Elephas maximus indicus: one gene and its partner. The protein of the gene in region 2 interacts with the protein of the main gene of each other region in a pairwise test. Links are inferred from orthologs where the notes say so. Each region holds a gene or a part of one and is shown on either strand. Other genes may lie near its edges. The genes, in order: IL1A and HAX1.

The links.
Region 1: the proteins of HAX1 (region 2) and IL1A interact in binary tests that used the Homo sapiens proteins (3 or more experiments, as listed by UniProt). The link is inferred for Elephas maximus indicus from reciprocal best matches to the Homo sapiens genes HAX1 and IL1A.

The regions. Positions count from the first base shown.
Region 1 is NC_064835.1:42,084,147-42,093,409, reverse strand, and holds the start of IL1A (interleukin-1 alpha), read left to right. Parts: upstream 1-5,893; coding exon 5,894-5,940; intron 5,941-6,911; coding exon 6,912-6,960; intron 6,961-7,863; coding exon 7,864-8,086; intron 8,087-9,263. UniProt on the Homo sapiens protein: Cytokine constitutively present intracellularly in nearly all resting non-hematopoietic cells that plays an important role in inflammation and bridges the innate and adaptive immune systems.
Region 2 is NC_064821.1:192,032,421-192,041,330, reverse strand, and holds HAX1 (HCLS1-associated protein X-1), read right to left. Parts: upstream 3,779-8,910; 5' UTR 3,472-3,778; coding exon 3,419-3,471; intron 3,396-3,418; exon of another isoform or gene 3,177-3,395; coding exon of another isoform or gene 3,163-3,176; intron 2,928-3,162; coding exon 2,671-2,927; intron 2,497-2,670; coding exon 2,309-2,496; intron 1,843-2,308; coding exon 1,788-1,842; intron 1,635-1,787; coding exon 1,528-1,634; intron 1,412-1,527; coding exon 1,321-1,411; intron 1,176-1,320; coding exon 1,090-1,175; 3' UTR 102-1,089; downstream 1-101. Other genes in the region: UBAP2L (ubiquitin-associated protein 2-like), read right to left, coding at 5,345-5,440, 6,274-6,324, 6,738-6,935, 8,567-8,634. UniProt on the Homo sapiens protein: Recruits the Arp2/3 complex to the cell cortex and regulates reorganization of the cortical actin cytoskeleton via its interaction with KCNC3 and the Arp2/3 complex. Slows down the rate of inactivation of KCNC3 channels. Promotes GNA13-mediated cell migration.

The DNA of each region.
Region 1 (9,263 bases), on a different chromosome or scaffold from region 2:
ATATCAAGAAATCAAATACTAAAATGTTCAGAGTCTTCCAGTTGTATAAAAACATATATATATATATATAATTCTTGAAAAAAGAAAAACTAAAATCAAAAACACCAAAATATTAATAGTGATTATCTGGAGTCCCTGGGTGGTACAAATGGATAATGTGCTCAACTGTAACCAAAACGTTGGAGATTCAAGTCCAGCCAGACATGCCTCAGGAAAAAGGCCCAGAGATCTACCTTCAAAAAAATCAGTCATTGAAAATCCCGTATAGCACAATTAAGTCTGTTCTGACACACATGGGGTCGACGTGAGTGAAAGTTGACTCAACGGCTACCGGTACTGGTGTCTCTAGTTATTATTTGTGGGTTTTACTTTCTTCTGCATATCTTTATATAACCCTAGAAATATTTAATAAAACATGTATTAGAATCCAAAAAATAATAAGTTAAAAAAAAAAAAACAACTGAGAAACAAGTTTAGATCACAAATAACTATGACTCTAATGAGAAAAATAAAGGAAAAAAAAAAAGGAAAGGGGATTTCTAAAAAGTGCATTTCGGATCAGACAATCACAACACCCCAGGAAGAAGGAGAAGTGAGGGACAGGCATGGACATGGCTGTAACCACACAGGAAGCAGTCTGGCGAACTCTGATTTTGTCAAGAGCATCTGTGAAAGATGGGAAAAGGGCACGTACCCAAGGGAGGAGGCAAAGAGGGGACACAGTCCTGTAAAGCACCACTTCAAGAGAAGAGAGGAAGGGGATTTAGGAAGAAAAGTATATAAATTAGGGAACAAATGATTAATTAAAGATAGGAGAAGGAAACACTGCTCACTGGGGATTTGCTGACTGAATAGCAGGCTTCAACCTACGTGAACTTCACCACCTGCTCCCAGCCAAGGCAGCCCTCTGCTCTTCGAGCTCCCAGAGCACTTGCTGCCTCTGGTACACAAGCCAGAGTGAAGAGAGCAAGGCCAGTTTTCATGTACGCTTTGTGAATACATTCTCTTCACTCCGTGTAATTCCTATCCTTCGTCTACTGCTTTATAATCTAGAAATTGTTTTCACGCACAAGAGCGATCTTTTAAAAGTACAAAGCTGCTTATGTCACCCATACGTACAACCCTTGTGGTTGTTCTTGTTGTTATGTGCGGTCCCATTAAACTTTGGATAAAGACCTTAGCTGGGCCTACACGAGGCCCTGCCTGTCTGGTGCTTGCCTTCCTCTCCATCCTTATCTTGCCACCTCCTCTCACCCCCTGCTGCAGCCTCAATGGTGTACTTTCACTTCTTTGATCCCCATAACCTTTGCTCAGCCTGGAATATTCCCTCTTCCCTCCCCATTGTACTATCCATTCCCAGTCTAAGACCAGCTCCTCTGTGACATGACTTACTGTATTTGCTTGTCCATACATACTGTTTGGGGAGATTATTGATTAATGTCTTCACTGTCAGCTTCCATGAAAACAGGAACCATAGCTGGTTTTGCTTACTTGATGGGGTTTCATTGTTTTTAATTCCTTTTTTATTTACAGGTGAGGAGCCATATTAAAAAAAAAAAAATTTTTTTTTAGAAGAGATTATATCTTCACTTTTCCTCTGTTCACTGAAGAGCCAGTGTTAGTAGGTAATAAGATATTTTGAACTAGAAGTCAAGAAATAGTGAGCTTCAATTTTAGTTCTTGCTCTCATATGAATTCTTCATGTGACCATGGGGTAGTACGTCCTCCCTCTGAGACTATTTCCTCTTTTTTAAGAATTTGAACTTGATGGTATCTGAGGTGCGTCCTTCTCTAAAATATAATTCTAGGTCCTTCAATAGACTAACAACAGAAGGCAGAAGAATTAAACATTAATTTAAGGGAACAAAGGAAAGGAAGAGGCTACACTAAGGAAAAGAGAAGGCCTCCTGTTTGGTTGACTGCATACTAGCTCTGGTGTCTGAAACCCATTTCAGCAATTTGATAACTTTGTGATCCTGAGCAGATTGCTTAATCTCTCTGAACCTCGATATCCTCATCTATAAAATGTGATAAGAACACCTACCTCACAGGTAGGATCAGAGGATTAAATGAGATAATGTATTACAGCACCTGGAACACAGTAGACGATGTTGTGCCCTTTCCTCCCTCCCCTTCACCATCATAGAATTTAAAAGCAGATTATAATTAAATAGAGCATGAGTTGAGACTAAAGGCCCAATTGTCTCTGTAAGCAATGGCTTATGCATTGTTTATTCCTCTGAAGAGGCTTTATACCGCCCAAAAATTAATGAATGCATGTCCTGGAAATTCACAGAGAAAAGTCTTGTTTCTCTCTGCATTCAAGTGATTCTGTTAGATTCAATCATATGCAATGATTCTAAAGTTGGTCTAAAAATGTTTACAAGCATTTCCTGTCTTCCTGGTACAATGGCAAGAACAAGACTCGGGTTCCCATCCAGGCTCCACTCCTGACCATGTGCTCAATACCTTCCTCCTGTTCCTGTATGTCACAGAACAAAATGAGATTAGGGAAGAAAGGGAAATATATTTCAAATCTTCTCTTTTTTTATCTTTTTTTTTTTTTTTTAACAAGAGTCCAAAATCACCAAATAGAGTGTTTGAGGTGGGAAAGACCTTAAGAATGATCTGTTTCGGCCCTGTCACTTGGTATTGGTGGTGAGAAGAGACTCAGAAACCAGAGTTCAAGTACTGGTTCTGTCAGTTTTGTGATCTTAGATTAGTCACTTAACCTGTTCAAGGGTCCTCAGCAAAGAAAAATGGATAATAATAGCTACCTCTTACAGATGCAATGAGAAGTCAGTAAGGCATAGCAGTTAAGAGCTCTTTGTGAACTCTAAAGCAGTTTCAAATGAAAAGCATCATCATGATTCTTTGGACGTACCATCTCTCACCTGGTAAAGCATATCCACTAACTTGCCAACATCCATCATCTCATCTTGCATATCTAATTTTTTGAATCACGAAAGAAAAACACCGGTGCCTAACAAAATGCCTGGCATGGAATAAGTGCACAATAATTTTTTCTGAATGATTTTTGTAAAAATAACTCAAGAAGGGCTTTTCATGGTCTCCTGAGAGCCAAGAAGTATGTACATGAAGACACTGAGAGCTCCTGTCATAGGACAGCCCACCCCCTACATATCCTAGACTCCATTAGAGATACACCAAGTGTATTCTTCTCTCCACTCCTTAGAAAGATGTGGTCTTAGAGGTAAGCAAGGTTACTTACAGGTCAGCCTCCTTCACCCTCGTGCAAACAAGGCTCCCAAAAACAAAGCAAGGGCCTCTCCCACCCTGAACTTTATCCACCTTGTTTTTCCTTGAAAAACCAAGTCCAAGGAGGTCAAGTGAAGGAAAATGTTGGGAGATACCCCAACCTGAGTTAGCTTTCTAGAGAAAACTAAACTCTTTTTGAGAAACTCAACAACCACTTTTGGGGATTTCTTTACAGTGGAGGAGCGATAAAGGCCAGGACGGACGTTGCTGCTGATGGTGGAAGCAAGGGTGATTTCCTGGATTACCAAAAAGGTGGTATGCTTTGCTCCCACGGGCTAAATAAATGCCTTCAGGGATTCAATAATGACCTTCAACTGGAATTTTTCTCCCTGTTGAAGTTTTCAAGCTCATATTTTCCTAAGAACTATATCCTCTTCAGTGAACCAAGGCGTTACAACTGGAGCCATCATTAGTGTCATTATTTGTGTAGCAGCCCACATTCACAATGTGCTTTGAAATTGTTTCTTAATAATAGTCCTAACAAGATGCACCAGAGGCAGAGCGGGTGACTAGGATTAACATTTCTGTATTGCCTGAAGGGGAACTAAATGTGAAGAGTTGACTGTCATCCTTGTTCACCCAAGGGTCAATCCAAAGACACCCAAACTCTGTCTCAACTTGATCCTACATTTAGAGTACCTTCTTCCAGGGTGCCAGTTGTTTCTGTGGCTCTTGTTTATAACTATTACAACACCAAGTCTACAACCAGGAGGAACTGGGCTACTGAGAGAGTAAGCAACAGAATCAAAGATTTTTGCAGTTATAATAGACCTGATTGATCATCTAACCAAGTCCAATATTCTCAGTTAAACAGTCCCAGAGAGTTTACCAAACTCGCACAAACCACCCCACTTCCAGTTCTGTGATTTTTTTGCCTTTTTATATCATGTTTTATACCATATGTATCAAAGGCCTCACCTTTCTCTCTCTGCTTTTTCTCTCCTCTGCCCTTTTCTTCCATCCATTTACTTTACTTAAATTTGTGTGGTTCAAACTCCCACTAAGAAACCTGAAACATTCATCTGCTAAGCAGCCTGGTGTTTTATCACCTGAACTGGGCTGGCCTCAGGATACCAAAAAGCCTTTAATAGTAACAATGAGACATCACTGATGTAACCTCCCTCAGCCTCCTTTTGAGGTCCCTGAGTCCCCCAGTTCCCCGAGGATGTCCTGTTGGCTGCACTGCAGACTTGTAAGATACTGCTGCTGAGACCCCAGCCACTGGTCTCTGCCCAGGGTCTTACCCGCTCCTCCCCAAGGGTGCAGCTACCCTTACACACCATGGGTTGATCCTGGAGAAGCCCAGGCTTCTCTTTGGGTTCTGGCAGAGGCCTGCTTTGCTGAGACATGGCTAGGGCAGGGAGTTCTCTGTCACCTCTGTCAGAAATGAGTTGACAGTATTCAGAGGAGCAAAGGATTAAAACTTTTGTGGTCAAATATCACTTCTCTATTCTGCCTAACCAGGAGATCATCACCTCCTGCTCAGAGTGATTTATGTCTTATTTAAGCAAACCTCTCTCCAAGAAAGATGTGTCATCAGTTCCCTTTCAGCCTGCGCACAATAAACAAATGAAGCCAAGACACCCACTACAGCTACTAAGCCCCCTCCAACGCTAACCACTGTAACTTCCTCCCCTCACTGCATATTTTTAGAAGCTTAATACGTTTTCTGCTCTTCTTCCCTTTTTCTAAGACTGCATGTTTATAATTGTATAGAGCAAAGCAATAAGTCAATAAGCCTAGTGAATAAAAAAAAAGTCCTGGGATCTCTGCAAATAATTTGGCAATACCATCAACTATACAATCTGTCTTATTTTAGCCAGTATCAAGTTGATTCAAAAAGAATTCTCTCCTGTAAATTCCCTGGTGACGTAGTCATTGCCACACCTACTTAAGACAAGACAATTACAAAAGGCGAAGCAGCCTGACTCGGTCTTAGTTCTCCTGGCAGAGAAGGAATCACTTCATTGGCGCTCCAGTCGGCAAAGGTATCGTCCTTATCACGTGTTTCTCTTTTTAAATATTTTTTGTTTTTTTTCTTGGCTGCTGTCTCTCAAACTGCCTTCTATGAAGCAATAACCTCTCTCTTCCTTTCTTGTCCCTCCCTGGTTTGGGATGTGAGCGAGAATCACAGTCAGATCTCAGAAAATCTCTCATTCTGCTGGGGAACCCCAAGGACAGAGGAATTGGCTTCTTATGAGGGCGTTGGTGGGCACATCTGAGCCTTCCCTCTGAAGGAAATTTCTCTACCAAAAATTATCAGGAAAAGAGCTGGAAATTTCCACCTGTCTTTCTCTTACATCTGTGTAAGATAAATATCTCATTCTGGTGACTTTTAGTTCCCTCGATGCCTGCTATGTGCAGTGCATTGGGCTGGGCATGTAAGGGATACCAAGATAAATAAAACAGATTCTAAAAAGGCTACAGTCCAGTGAAGGAGGTAGGTATAAATAAAAACAGAGCGAGAGAGTGAACAAGAAGAATAGGGGAAATGCTGAGTGTGGGCTAAGTCAATTCAGTCAAGTCTCCCAAGAAACATAGAGTGGAGTTGGCTCCATCTGATTCAAAGGTTGGCTGAGCCGACAGCCAGTGTTCTCTGTTGCAGAAAATCAAGATGGCCAAAGTTCCTGACCTGTTTGAAGACCTGAAGGACTGTTACAGGTAAGAAATAGATTCTATCTCTTGTGATTTAACAAAGGGATCAAGTCTCATTAGAATCCCGCTAGGAGTTACGGTGACCAACATGGGGTCAGATCAGCAGAGAGTGTGGAGAACACTACTTCTGAATTCTGTGCAAGTTCAGCTGAAGACTCAGGGAAATCAAGCATCCAGCGTGTTAAACTGAGATTGCACTGACAGGGAGACAGTCATTTTAGAAAAATGATTTTTGAAGTCTACCGAGTTCTACACGAATTTCAACATCTACTTAAGCACAGCCCCAATTGAGCTCAATGCCCTGATACAGTAATGGGTTTTCATGGATGAGAAAGAAGCCATTCTCATGCAAACTTCTTATCCCAATCAGGATCAGGAGTTGGCTACACAGCAATTCGAGCTTGTGAATGCACACACACACTCAAACTTCATTCAGACATAGGAGAAAGATAAAGAAATAAAAAATTGAAATTACAGAACATTTTAAACACTTATGGCATTCTCACTACCTATAACATACACTAATACAAACTAGCCTATCAAAATGCTACCTGAATATTTTGCCAAATATAAATTATTAAATCTACTTTGTAGAACCCAGGAAAACAATGTGCAACATATGATTAAACATTTGGTTTAAAAAAATGGAGATGTTTCAAAAGTTTTTCTTTTCTCTTGAGGAACTTAACATTTTTTCCTGACGTTCAATAAAAACTCTTTAATTTGTTAGCCAAACCCAGTTTTTATAGATGAAGCACAGGTAAAGTCCAAGCCCTGTCCTGATTATTCCTAACTGCAAATTAGTACGGAATGAATTACTGTATGTATGTGTGTGTCTAGAAGTCCTTTAATTTTCAAAGATGACAGTAATGTCCAAGTGTGTGTGTTACCCAAAGCTAATGTGGTCATTAAAATAAGTTGCCCAGTGACCGTAGGGAAATAAACAGAATTACATTCTCATCATCTTGTTTTGACAGTGAAAATGAAGAATACAGTTCCAACAATGACACCCTCTCTCTGATTCAGGTAAGCAAATGATTGCAACTCCTAGGGCACTGGTATTTTTATACAGTAGTTTCTCACCAGGAGAGAATAATGACTTGGGCCGTCGATACTTTTGTTTTACATCCACTAAAGGTCCAGAAACTTGCATTTCTTCATTACAAGTGAGACCAGCTGCCTCTCTAAACTAACAGTTAATGGCATTCCTCATGCTCACCACCTTGCCCAGAACAGAGCAGAACTTTCCTGAAGCCACAAGGACCACAGCCTCCTGGGTCAGGCTTCATCAGAACATCAGTTATGCCATCCTGAAGCAGCCCCTTCAGGTCACTTCACTAGGTGTCTGTCTCCTAAAGTGAGGTTAGGTAGAGCCCTCCAAACATAATAGCCCATGAAGTAGAAGAAGCAGACCAATTGAAAGTGAGAAATCTGCAGCCACTCACCTGGAGTCCACAAGTAGGTGGGATAAGTTCTGCCGTGTGTATTTCTGGTACCGACTGCCAAAGCTGTTCTCAGAGGAACATTTCTAAAGCAGAGGTCAAGCAGAGATTACCATAACCTCCTGAGCAGGAACCAATTTGAAGACTACCACTCACGAAGATCGCTTGTTAACCTATTTTATTACAATATCTCAGTTGTGAGTCCTTGCACATGGATGACAAAGTCTCGCCCAAGAGATCACATCCTTTTAGGGACATCCTAGAAGAAAGAAAGGGAGGGAAGCAAGGAGGGAAGGGAGGAAGAAAGAGAAAAGCGAGGAAGGTAGGAGGGAGGGAAGGAGCAGGAGAAGACTGATGAAACATAGGTTACCCAAGACCAAAATGGAGACCCTTCTCACTAAGTCAGTTGGACAAGATTCCTACTGAAAAGTGTGTCATTCATTCCACAGCCATGGCAGCCTCTCAGTATCCATTTTCTTCTTTACAGAAATCCTTCTATGATGCAAACTATGGCCCACTTCAGGAGGTCTGCATGGATAAATTTATGTCACTGAGTACCTCTGAAACCTCTAAGATAGCCAAACCTGCCTTCAAGGAGAGTGTGGCAGTGGTGTCAGCCACAGGGAAGATTCTGAAGAAGAGACGACTAAGTTTAAATCAGCCCATCACTGATGAAGACCTGGAGGCCATTGCCAATGATCCAGAAGAAGGTAAGAGGTCAAGCCAATCATGTCCATTTTTAAATAAATAGGGACAATAGAGTATTAAGGGAAATAAAACTTAGAGTAGCAGAAGGGCAACCAGACCTTAGTCCAGTAACATAAGGAAGGAAAATTAATTTTTCTCCTTCTCTAAAGCAGAGACAGCAGCAGTGACCTGAGTGTAGAATACTTGCCCACAGGCTCATTTACTGATCGTATTATAAAGCTCGTGTGACTTTTAGCCTTTCAGGGGGAAAAGTAACTATATACTGTTAGTGGGTGACCACTTACAAGATATGTTCCTCCATTCACTAGTTATGCTCCCGTGGCCAAGTTATTAAACCTTTCTCTACTGTAAAATGGAGATAATCAGAGTTTTTACCTCACTGTATTATCATGAAGATTAAATGAGTGAACACCCCCCAACTCCTGGACTAGAATAATGCCTGGTGCATAGTACCCAAAAAAACCAAACCAAACCCATTGCCACTGAGTCGATTCCAACTCATAGCAACTCTATAGGACAGAGTAGAACTGCCCCATAGGGTTTCCAAGGAGCACCTGGTGGATTTGAACTGCCGACCTTTTAGTTAGCAGCCATAGTTCTTAACCACTGTGCCAACAGGTTTTCCTGGTAAGCACCCAAAAAATGTCAGCTATTATTATCGCAATTATTCCTTTGTTGTTATTACTACTACTACAGTTAATACTTCTATTAATACCACCAATACTACATTAATTTATTAATGCCTGAATTATATATAAACCTCACAATAACCCTACATTCTCATTTGACATGTGAGAAAAGTAAGCTCGGCGAGATAAGTGACCTGCCCAAAGACATGCAGCCTGTAAGTGGGAGAGTTCCAAATCAAATTCAGTTCTACCTGACTTAAAAAAAAAAAAATGATTTTTCTCTCATGCCTTTACTGTACAAGCCTCCACATGTAACATAAACCCATTATTCCTGTTTTTAAGATAACATCTAAACAAAAATGCATGTACACCTAGGAAGTTGAAAAATGCAAGAAAATATTTTTTTAAAAAAATCAAAATCACTCATACTACCACTCAAGAGTTTACCACTGCCAACACTATGGTATACTTCCTTAAAGTATTTTCTATACACATACACATACATAAACAAACGTGTTTGTTATTAGGATCACACTATATACAATTTTAT
Region 2 (8,910 bases):
ATATATACACACACATATATACATACATATACACACATACACTCCAATTGGAAAAAATGAAATTGGCTCCCTGATTCATATTATATAACAAAGATAAATTCCAGGTGAATTAAAAAAATGTAAATGGAAAAACTATAAAACTTGTAGAGGATACTATAGGTAAGTATCCTTTTAACCCTGAGTTAGGGAGATTTCTGAAAGACAAAAGCAGCACTATCCATAAAGGAAAAGATAAACTGGCTAACAACTCTGTTTACCAAAAGAAATAATAGTGAAAAGGTAAAATCTCATAGCTATCAGCTCCTTTCCTCTTTGTTCTTCTGATATCTTTTTAGTAAAATCCCTTGTCATTTTAACGAGGGTTTCAGAAGGAATGGAAGTAAATACATTTGTAAAATCTGCCATCTTTAACCATAGTACCAAAAACTTTTTTAATGAGGAAAATATTTTACTTTTTACTCTAATGTGTTGGAGGGAGAACAAAGTGAACTTCAGGAGAATAAGGGTGGATATTATGCTAGTTATATTTTCTCTAACACACATTAAAACAAAAACTTAGCCAGTAAATCAAGAAATATTTGCCCATATATTTCCTCTAATTATCTTATGAACTATCCAGTCACAGTGATACCACACTTAGGGCAACAGTTATCCCCCACTTCCACACTCCCCTCTTCCTTCTTTGGAATCTGATGTATCATCCCCTTCTGGAAAATTTCTAGGAATTATTTCTAGTTATCTCCTCAGTAAGGAAAATCACTTTTTACTGACATCTGACTCTTACCTAACAAATCAGGTTCTGCAAGTGGCACAAAAAATTAAGAAATAAGGCTAAGGTTGTGGTCCAAGGTAATTTGGGAAGTCCTGCATAGTGCTAGAAAGTGACACAGCCTTGACAAAACCAAGACTGAGGAATTAGCATAAATAAAGGTTTTATTGGTCAGTTTAGGTGAGTGACATACTGACATACCCCCAGTTCTCTGCTCCCTACACCCAAGCCCCTGGTGTGGCAAGAGAAACTAAGCCCATTGGTGGTGGGTTACAGGTGGGAGACAGAAAGGACCTGAAGGCCTCTGAGGGTTAACAAGTCTACCGGAACCGGAACCATCGTCCTAGGAATAAATCCAGGATGGAAGAGGTATCATCCAGGGCTGAAGATCTTGGTGATTCTTGATCTAGGCAAGAAAGTTATACACATAAATAGGCTAAATGAGAGAGACTAGGCAGGGACAAAGGAGAAGAATAATTAAGGTTAGGAGAAAGTTTCCCCTCCTAAAGTTGTTAAGAAATGGACCCCTTTGGTTCATACTCTTCACTTACCATCTCTAGGACTGCCATCTGCTTCTTGCCGTATTACTGTGGTCTCTGTCCGGCCCTCACTGTCCACCACAGTCCGGTGCTCCTCCACTGTCTATAAGGAGAAGTCCCCACCATTCACTAAAAGTGAGTTTGGTGCTTTCTATACATGGATCTGTTTTCATGGCAGCCCCTAGCCACAGTTCCCTTTAACCCTCTCCCCCAGCTCACCCCATCTGGCTTAGTGATCTTGGTCACAGAGACGCTCTTGAAATAGGATCTAGGCCGGGGCTGTAGAACCGGGCCAAGGCCCTCCTGGGAAACTTGGGAATCCAGATCTGGAAAGGCAGAGAGATGAAGGAACAGGAGAGGCATAATACAAGGGAAAAGAAAGGAGAACTGTGACATGAAGAAGATTCAGGGAGGGAAAGCAGAGGGAACTTCAGGAGAACAACAGAGGGCTAGTGAATGTCCCCTCCTTCTAGACTCACCATTGTCCTCTCGGGCTCTAGGATGGGGGGTCACAGGCCACACATCATCAAACTGCTGAAGAATCCAAAGTAGGTGAAAAATATCTTTTCAATGTGAAACCTGAAAGGTCACAGACCCAAAACACTACCAAGTTCCAAAACCACCTTTCCGCAGGAAGAAGAATCCCATTCAGTACAGGTCTACTTCCTTACTACTTCCTCTTTCCTGGCTGTTTTATGTATTCCTGTACCAAGAAGCCTTCCTGACCTGATCCTTCCCAGTCTTCCCCCAACAATTCCTCTGGGCCAGTGATTTTCATTTTTTTTTAAAAAAGAGAGACAGTAGAACTCCCATTTTCACCACCACCCCCCCTCCACAAAGAAAATCCTACAAGAAGCTATTATAGAAAACAGATAAATAAGCTAAGTGGACGGTCTAGGATGCCAACTCAAGTTTATCAGATTCCATCAAAGATTCCAGTCTCTGCACACTATCAGTTGTTTTCACAGGTTCTCACGTCAGGGCCAGATGGGATACTCACCCTATGAAAAGGTCTCTGGGAGCCCCAGTCTGGTACTGGTTTTGAGGATTCAGTCCCTGCATCACTCTCCAAGACCCCCCCAAAGATCCTGGGCTGGTGGCTATCTGGATACTTAAGCATTGAGTCCCGAAGTGTCTCTCCCTTCCGCTGTCTCTCACCAGCTGTCTCTGACTCAGGACCTAGAAGTTCTACAGAAAGTGGCAGGTCAATGTTGGCAGTGGAAGAGGACTTGGGCTCTTTAAATCTCCCTGAAGTCATCAGTCTTCTCACACTTTCCACCCCAAACTACTCCCTGCAGGCTCCTTATTTCACCCACCAACCCATTAGAACCCACAAGTTCTCCCTCAAGGGCAGCCACACACCAGGAGGGCGAGAAGGCAAGGTCCAGGCCTCCATCTCACTGAAGATGCTATTGAAATCCCGTACTAGGTCATCAAAGCCGAAATTACGATGGAAACGCATCCCTCCTCCTGGGCTGAAGCTGAAGCCAAATTCTTCTGGGGGCTGGGGCTCCCCAAACCTGGGGCTCCCATAGCCCCATGTGGCTCCTTCTTCTTCTTCTTCCTCATCATCCTCATCTTCATCTCGAGTCATTCCTCCAAAAAAGGGATCTCTGTGGCTGGGGGTGGGGGCAGATTGGCCACCAAGATTTCAGCACCAGCAAGTACTTAGAAAAGTGAGACAAGAACAGGGGTCTCGGAAGCATAACAGCTGCTAGTATTTTTGTATAGCTCTTATTAAAGTCAATCCTCATCTCTCAGTTTACCCCAATCTCCTTCCCACCGCCTTGTCTCCAGTGTCTGCCAGCCTCTCCCCGCATGCCAAGGTTATGCTCACTTGCTCATCGTCCTTACCCCCAGATCCCCATTTTCTTCCCCGCCCGGGCGCCTGTTGCATCACCCCAGGTTGGAGAAAGGCTTAGGTTGCCGTTTTTCCTCCACTTAACGACTGCCTTGGTTACTGTCGCAAGGTGAGTACTGAATGTTGCGACTTCGATCTTCTCCGCAGTTAAAAGTGTGGGCAAGAGGATGTTTTTCCAAATAGAGGGTGTCAAGGGCCAAAGTCCCCTCAGAAGATTCCCCCCCTTGTCCGACCCGGACCCACGCTCACCTCCGAGGTCTAGAAAAGCCGAAAAAGCCCCGGAAGAGGTCAAAGAGGCTCATTCCCGTACTGGGATTCGAACCTTTGAACGCCACCCACGACCCATTCGCACCAGTAGGCAGCCGGCGCTTCGCTGACGGAAGGTGGGCGAAACGTCACACCACGCTGCCGGAAAGCAAGGCTGCAACCCAGATACTGTCGTAAAACGACCGTAAGCCGGACCTGGAAGGGGAGGCGGGGCGGACGGGCCTCCTCAAATTCGAACGGCTTTTACCTTTTACCTCACTTTTTCAGACCAGTTTCTTGTGAAGCGGGTGCGTGCTACCGAATTCCTATTTCCCAATGGCCACCTGCGTCCGACGTCAGACTCTCCTTCCTGCTGACCAGCCTAAGCCTAAAAGGTGTTTCTAAGATTGGACTCTTGATTGTATACGGCTATGGCCGCCAGGGGACAGTCCAATCGCACAAATAACGAGCCCAAGGCCCTCCCTCATCCCTGGCTGAACACACCCAGGGAAGCCACAAGTCACCCCGCTCCCTTTCTCGGGCTTGTTTAAGTCTGAGAGGAACGGACAAAATGTTCTGAATTCTCCCAGTTAAGATATGGGGACGCATGGACTTATTTCCTCCATCTCTCCAGCCACCAAAAATGTCATTAAGGATACTTGGTTTTCCCAAGCAGGCTTTGCAACCAGCAGCAAACTGGATTTGTAAGGGAGCAAGGGAAGGGAAGCTAGTGAGGCGTCCTGGGAGGGAAGAAAGGATTTGGGGCTGTAAGTATTCCTTTTCATATCACAGACTCTTCAACGTCTCACCCTCCTCCTCCATCCTGACCTTGACTCCTTTTCAAGGGACTGGGTGTGACATGAACCACCCAAGAGGCAATAAGTTTTGTGTTTTACTCCCAGGGGGGTGGTGCCCCAGCCAACAGTGCATGTTGCTCTCACTTCTTTCATTTGCCTGGACCTGTTGAAGTTATACTTTGACCCCACAATGCCATTTCCCTCTTTGAAATGGTCTCAGCTCCTCTAAGACCCTTTCCACCCCCCCATCTCCTCTGTCCTTTTCCCCTCATTGCCTGAAATCTGCTGTAGATGTAGTTTCTGGAGAAAATGAAGACTTGTGGTGGTTCTTCCCAGGCATCAGGCTATGAGATTCTTAGGGGTGAAGGGAAGGGAATTCCCTCAAGGGCAAGATACTAGCACATTAAGGTCAGAGGAGTTCTTAAAGGGCAAAGATTTCATTTTATTCCACTGCCTTCGGGGCCTGCTAGAGGAGGCCCAGTTGGTACGGTAATACTTATTCACCAAGCCGGTCATCGACGAGACTGAGGATATCCTAGACGGAGCAAGAATGGGCAGAGGCTGAAGGTAGAGGTTTTCTTTTTATATATACAAGACACATTAATCCATTAAATTTGAGGACACAGTACAAAAAAACAAAAACAAAAACAAAAAAACACTTCAACTAATTCATCTGACGATGCTGTTCATATTCATGACGCCATTTTTTTGTTGTTTTGTTTTCCTAATAATAAAGGAGGAGGCTTAGGGCTGTTGGGCTGATATATATTTGGGGGCCCCCTCTTCCCACCTCACCCAAACACCACCAGGGTGAACAGGAGGAGGAGAAGGAAGGGCAGGGCCCACAGCAAAGTTTCATAATCTTGAATGCAAGGGGGGAGGAGGAAGAGGAAAGGAAGAGAGGAAAAAAAAAAAACAAAAGGAAAAAATACAAATCCTATAATACATACAACAGAGTGGGGATGGTATGGGAATGGAACAGACATAAAGCTGAGGCATGGGGTAGGCCGCTGGGGGTGGGGGGTGGTGGAACCCCCCCACATTCCTTTCTCTCTTTGATGCTGTTTCCATAGTAGCCAGGCTGAGGAGCCCTCTCAGAAGATGGGGCCGGGAGAAGAGGAGGGCCAGGGCCTCAGTTGGCCCCCCAGCTGTAGCTGTTGTAGGCAGACTTGTTGGTCTGGGGCTTCTGCGGGATGGAGCTGGTCTGGCTACGTTGCCCGCTGCCCGTCTGCAGGGGTATGGGAGGATCATGGAGAGGAAAAAGGTGTCTAGTTAGTGGGACAGATTTGTGACATCTTTAGGTGGAGATATGGAAGTTGTCTTGAACTCTCCCCCATACCCCTTGTTTAGAGACTACTAGGAAGTTCACTTGTCAGCCATGGGGAGTTCTGCTCTACATAGCTGTTAGAGGCCCTCTCTGACAAGCAAGGCACTTTCATCCTTTAAATAGCGGAAAGATGAAATGAGGGCAAGATACTTTTGGAGATAAGATAGTTCTACTCATTTTCAATTCCACATTTTCCTACCACCTCACCACTCTCTGCTCTGGCAAAGGGCTGCTATCTGGGGAGAATTATGACCTCTTCGGGATGAGAGATCATAAAGTCATTTCATTTCCACTGATGCCCCCAAGTGCCTCAATTTGGAATGCTATCTTTGAAAGCAAGGAAGCCCTTATTCCAGCTCCCCAGCCACCTATGACAGAGAGGTCACCTGTGCCATCCCACAGCTCCTCACCCCTACCACACATCACATCTGTGAGCCCACTGCAGACAAGGCAGGAGACAGACTAAAGCCTCAGGGCTCCAAATACTGTCTAAGAATCTTTCCCATTCCGGTAACCAAGTGTTTGGGCGAAGGGTAGAAAGAAAGAAAGAGGGCATTAAGGAAGGGGAAAGGACACAGGAAGGGAGGCCAGAGAGCTCAGCAAGGTGTCCGTGTTTGTGTATCCCGACTTGTGACCGCGCAATCTATTTCCTCTTCAAGTTCCCTGAAGCTATGGAGGTGAAATGGGGACTGAAAAGGAGTGGGTTCAAGCATATCATCATTTAGTTTCATTACCTGCTCCTCCTGCTGGCGCTGGCAACAGAGAATCATCTGCAAATATGGTAGCTGAGGCAGAACCAGGATATATGGAAAATAAAGGGACAAACTTTGACAATAGAACTCCACCATCATAAGGGAAAGCTATAATGTCAGGGGAAAGGGGAAGACTGGGAGAGGCAGGAGGGGAGGTGTAACCCAGGTCTGATGGGATGAAGACAACTGTGTCATGTGAGGAGGTGGAGGAGAAAGGCACCAAAGGAAGTGGGCAAAAAAGGTACCTGGCCCCTTCTCTGACATCTCCTTTGCTGGCCGCTCGTGTTATGTGCGCTTGTGTCTGTATGTGCTGTGTGCCCATGGCTGGCACTGGGAAGGGCTGGGTGAAGGTGGTGGTGAAGAAGGGTAAGAGAAGGAAAAGGAAGGCAGTTTTAAGGGATAGGAAGGAAGAGGAAGGGAAAGGAGAGAAGAGGAATTGCTATTACCTGGCCATCCTGCTGCAGGTGATGGTGAAGGATCTGGGAGTGCGGCTGCTGATGGGGGGTCAGAATGTGCATAAAGGGGGCAGGTGGGTAGGCAGCAGCTGTGGCCGGATTGATGGGCCCCCCACTTCCTAGGGCTGAAGGCAAGTTGAAGGAGGCAGCAGGAGTACCGGAATGAAAACCTTGTTTCTCAAAGGACTGCTATCCAGGAGGGTGGGAAAAGACAGAGTAAAAGGGATCAGCAAAGTAAGCCTTGACATTTCTAAGCCCAAGCTCCCCACCTTCAGAAGGCAGCAGTGGCATCATAGAAGGAACATGCACCTAAAGTCGGCTATTCGGGTCTGAGTCCCAGCTCTGCCCTTCAATGATCCTGGGCAAGTTACTCAATCTCTCAGCCTCGGTTTCCTGATACATAAAACAGGGATGCTACTGATCTCACGGTTGTAAGGATCAAATGAGAGAATAAACGTGAAAGCACTTTGTAAAGCTAATGACACAGATGAAAGCTGAAATTTGCTGACTACCCTTAGTTCCCCCACCATGGAGCTACGTGAAAATCAGAACTTCTTAGATATTTCAAAAGAAACTAATACACGTGAAGGTTGAAGGCCTTGGCCATGAAGCACTCCCCCAAATACTTTCTATCAGTAAAAGTAACACAAGTTATACAAACAAGCCTGTGGATCATTCAAATGCCTCACTTTAGTTACTGGGCTTCTGCTTTCCCACTCTTTGTTACAGATTTACTCACAAAGAACAGATGAACTAATTTCCCTTCATTCCATCCTCCCTCTCTCAGAAAGTTATGAGAAAGGTTGGGAGCAGGGAGGTAAAGGGCTAGGACAGTAAATCACATGACACATCACAACAATCTGCCACACCTTGCCTTACTATAACATTTTTTTTTTTCCGGCGGGCTAAATTTAAAAACTCCTTAGAGGCACCGAAGTCTAGAGAAAACCAGTCATTTTCTAGTAGGATGGGTGTCCTGCCACCTCTCCTAGGGTTGTAGCCCTGATGACCCAGTGGTTAAGAGCTTGGCAGCTAATCAAAAGGTCTGGCAGTTCAAATCCAGCAGCTGCTACTTGGAAGCCCTATGGGGTAGTTCTAGCCTGTCCTATAGGGTCGCTATGACTATGACTCAGAATCAACTTGATGGCATCAGGTTTTTTTTTTTTTTTGGTTTTCTCCTAGGGTTGCTTTTTTTTAAAATTGTAATTTACATGAAGGTTTACAGAACAAACAGCTTTTCATTAAACAATTAGTACACATATTGTTCTGTGACATTGGTTCTCAACCCCATGACAGGTCAACACTCTCCCCTTTTCAACCTGGGGTTCCCCATTACCAGCTTTCCTGTCCCCTCCTGCCTTCTCGTCCTTGCCCCTGGGCTGGTGTGCCCATTTAATCTCGTTTTGTTTTATAGGCCTGTCTAATCTTTGGCTGAAGGGTAAACCTCAGGAGTGACTTCATTATTGAGCCAAATGGGTTTCCAAGGGGCATACTCTCAGGGTTTCTCCACTGTCAGATCAGTTAAGTCTGGTCTTTTTTGTGTGTGTGTGTGAGTTAAAATTTTGTTCTACATTTTTCTCCAGCTGTATCTGGGACCCTCTATTGTGATCCCTGTCAGAGCAGTCAGTGGTGGTAACCAGGCACCATCTAGTTGTGCTGGACTCAGTCTGGTGGAGGCTGTGGCAGTTGTGGTCCATTAGTCCTTTGGACTAATCCTTCTCCTAGGGTTGCTCTTGTTCACTGAGCTTCTCTCACTGAAACTCTACCTCATCTAAGTCCATCTCTCTTTTTTCACACTTCTGTCAGAGCCAGGCACCTACCTGGGTTTTGGAGTACACAGAACCCGAGATATCTGGCACGCCCGTGTTACTGGAGGTGACTGATACACCTGAGGGAGGAGGAAACAGACAGGAGGATTAGCTCAGCTTCCTGCCTGGCCCTATTCCTGGGAGGAGGTGATGTCTGCAGCCTCTCTAGCTCTATTACTGCAAGGGAATTTTGGTTTGTTTTTCCAGCTTCAGGTCAGTCCTGAGGGATAAAAGCTCATGACAGAAAAGCTCCCTGAGTATTTTCTTGCCCCTTCCAGGCATGAGTATGTATGTGACAGTGAAGTGAGTCGTGTTTTTGAGGAAAGGGGATATCGCCAAACCTCACTAGCATATAC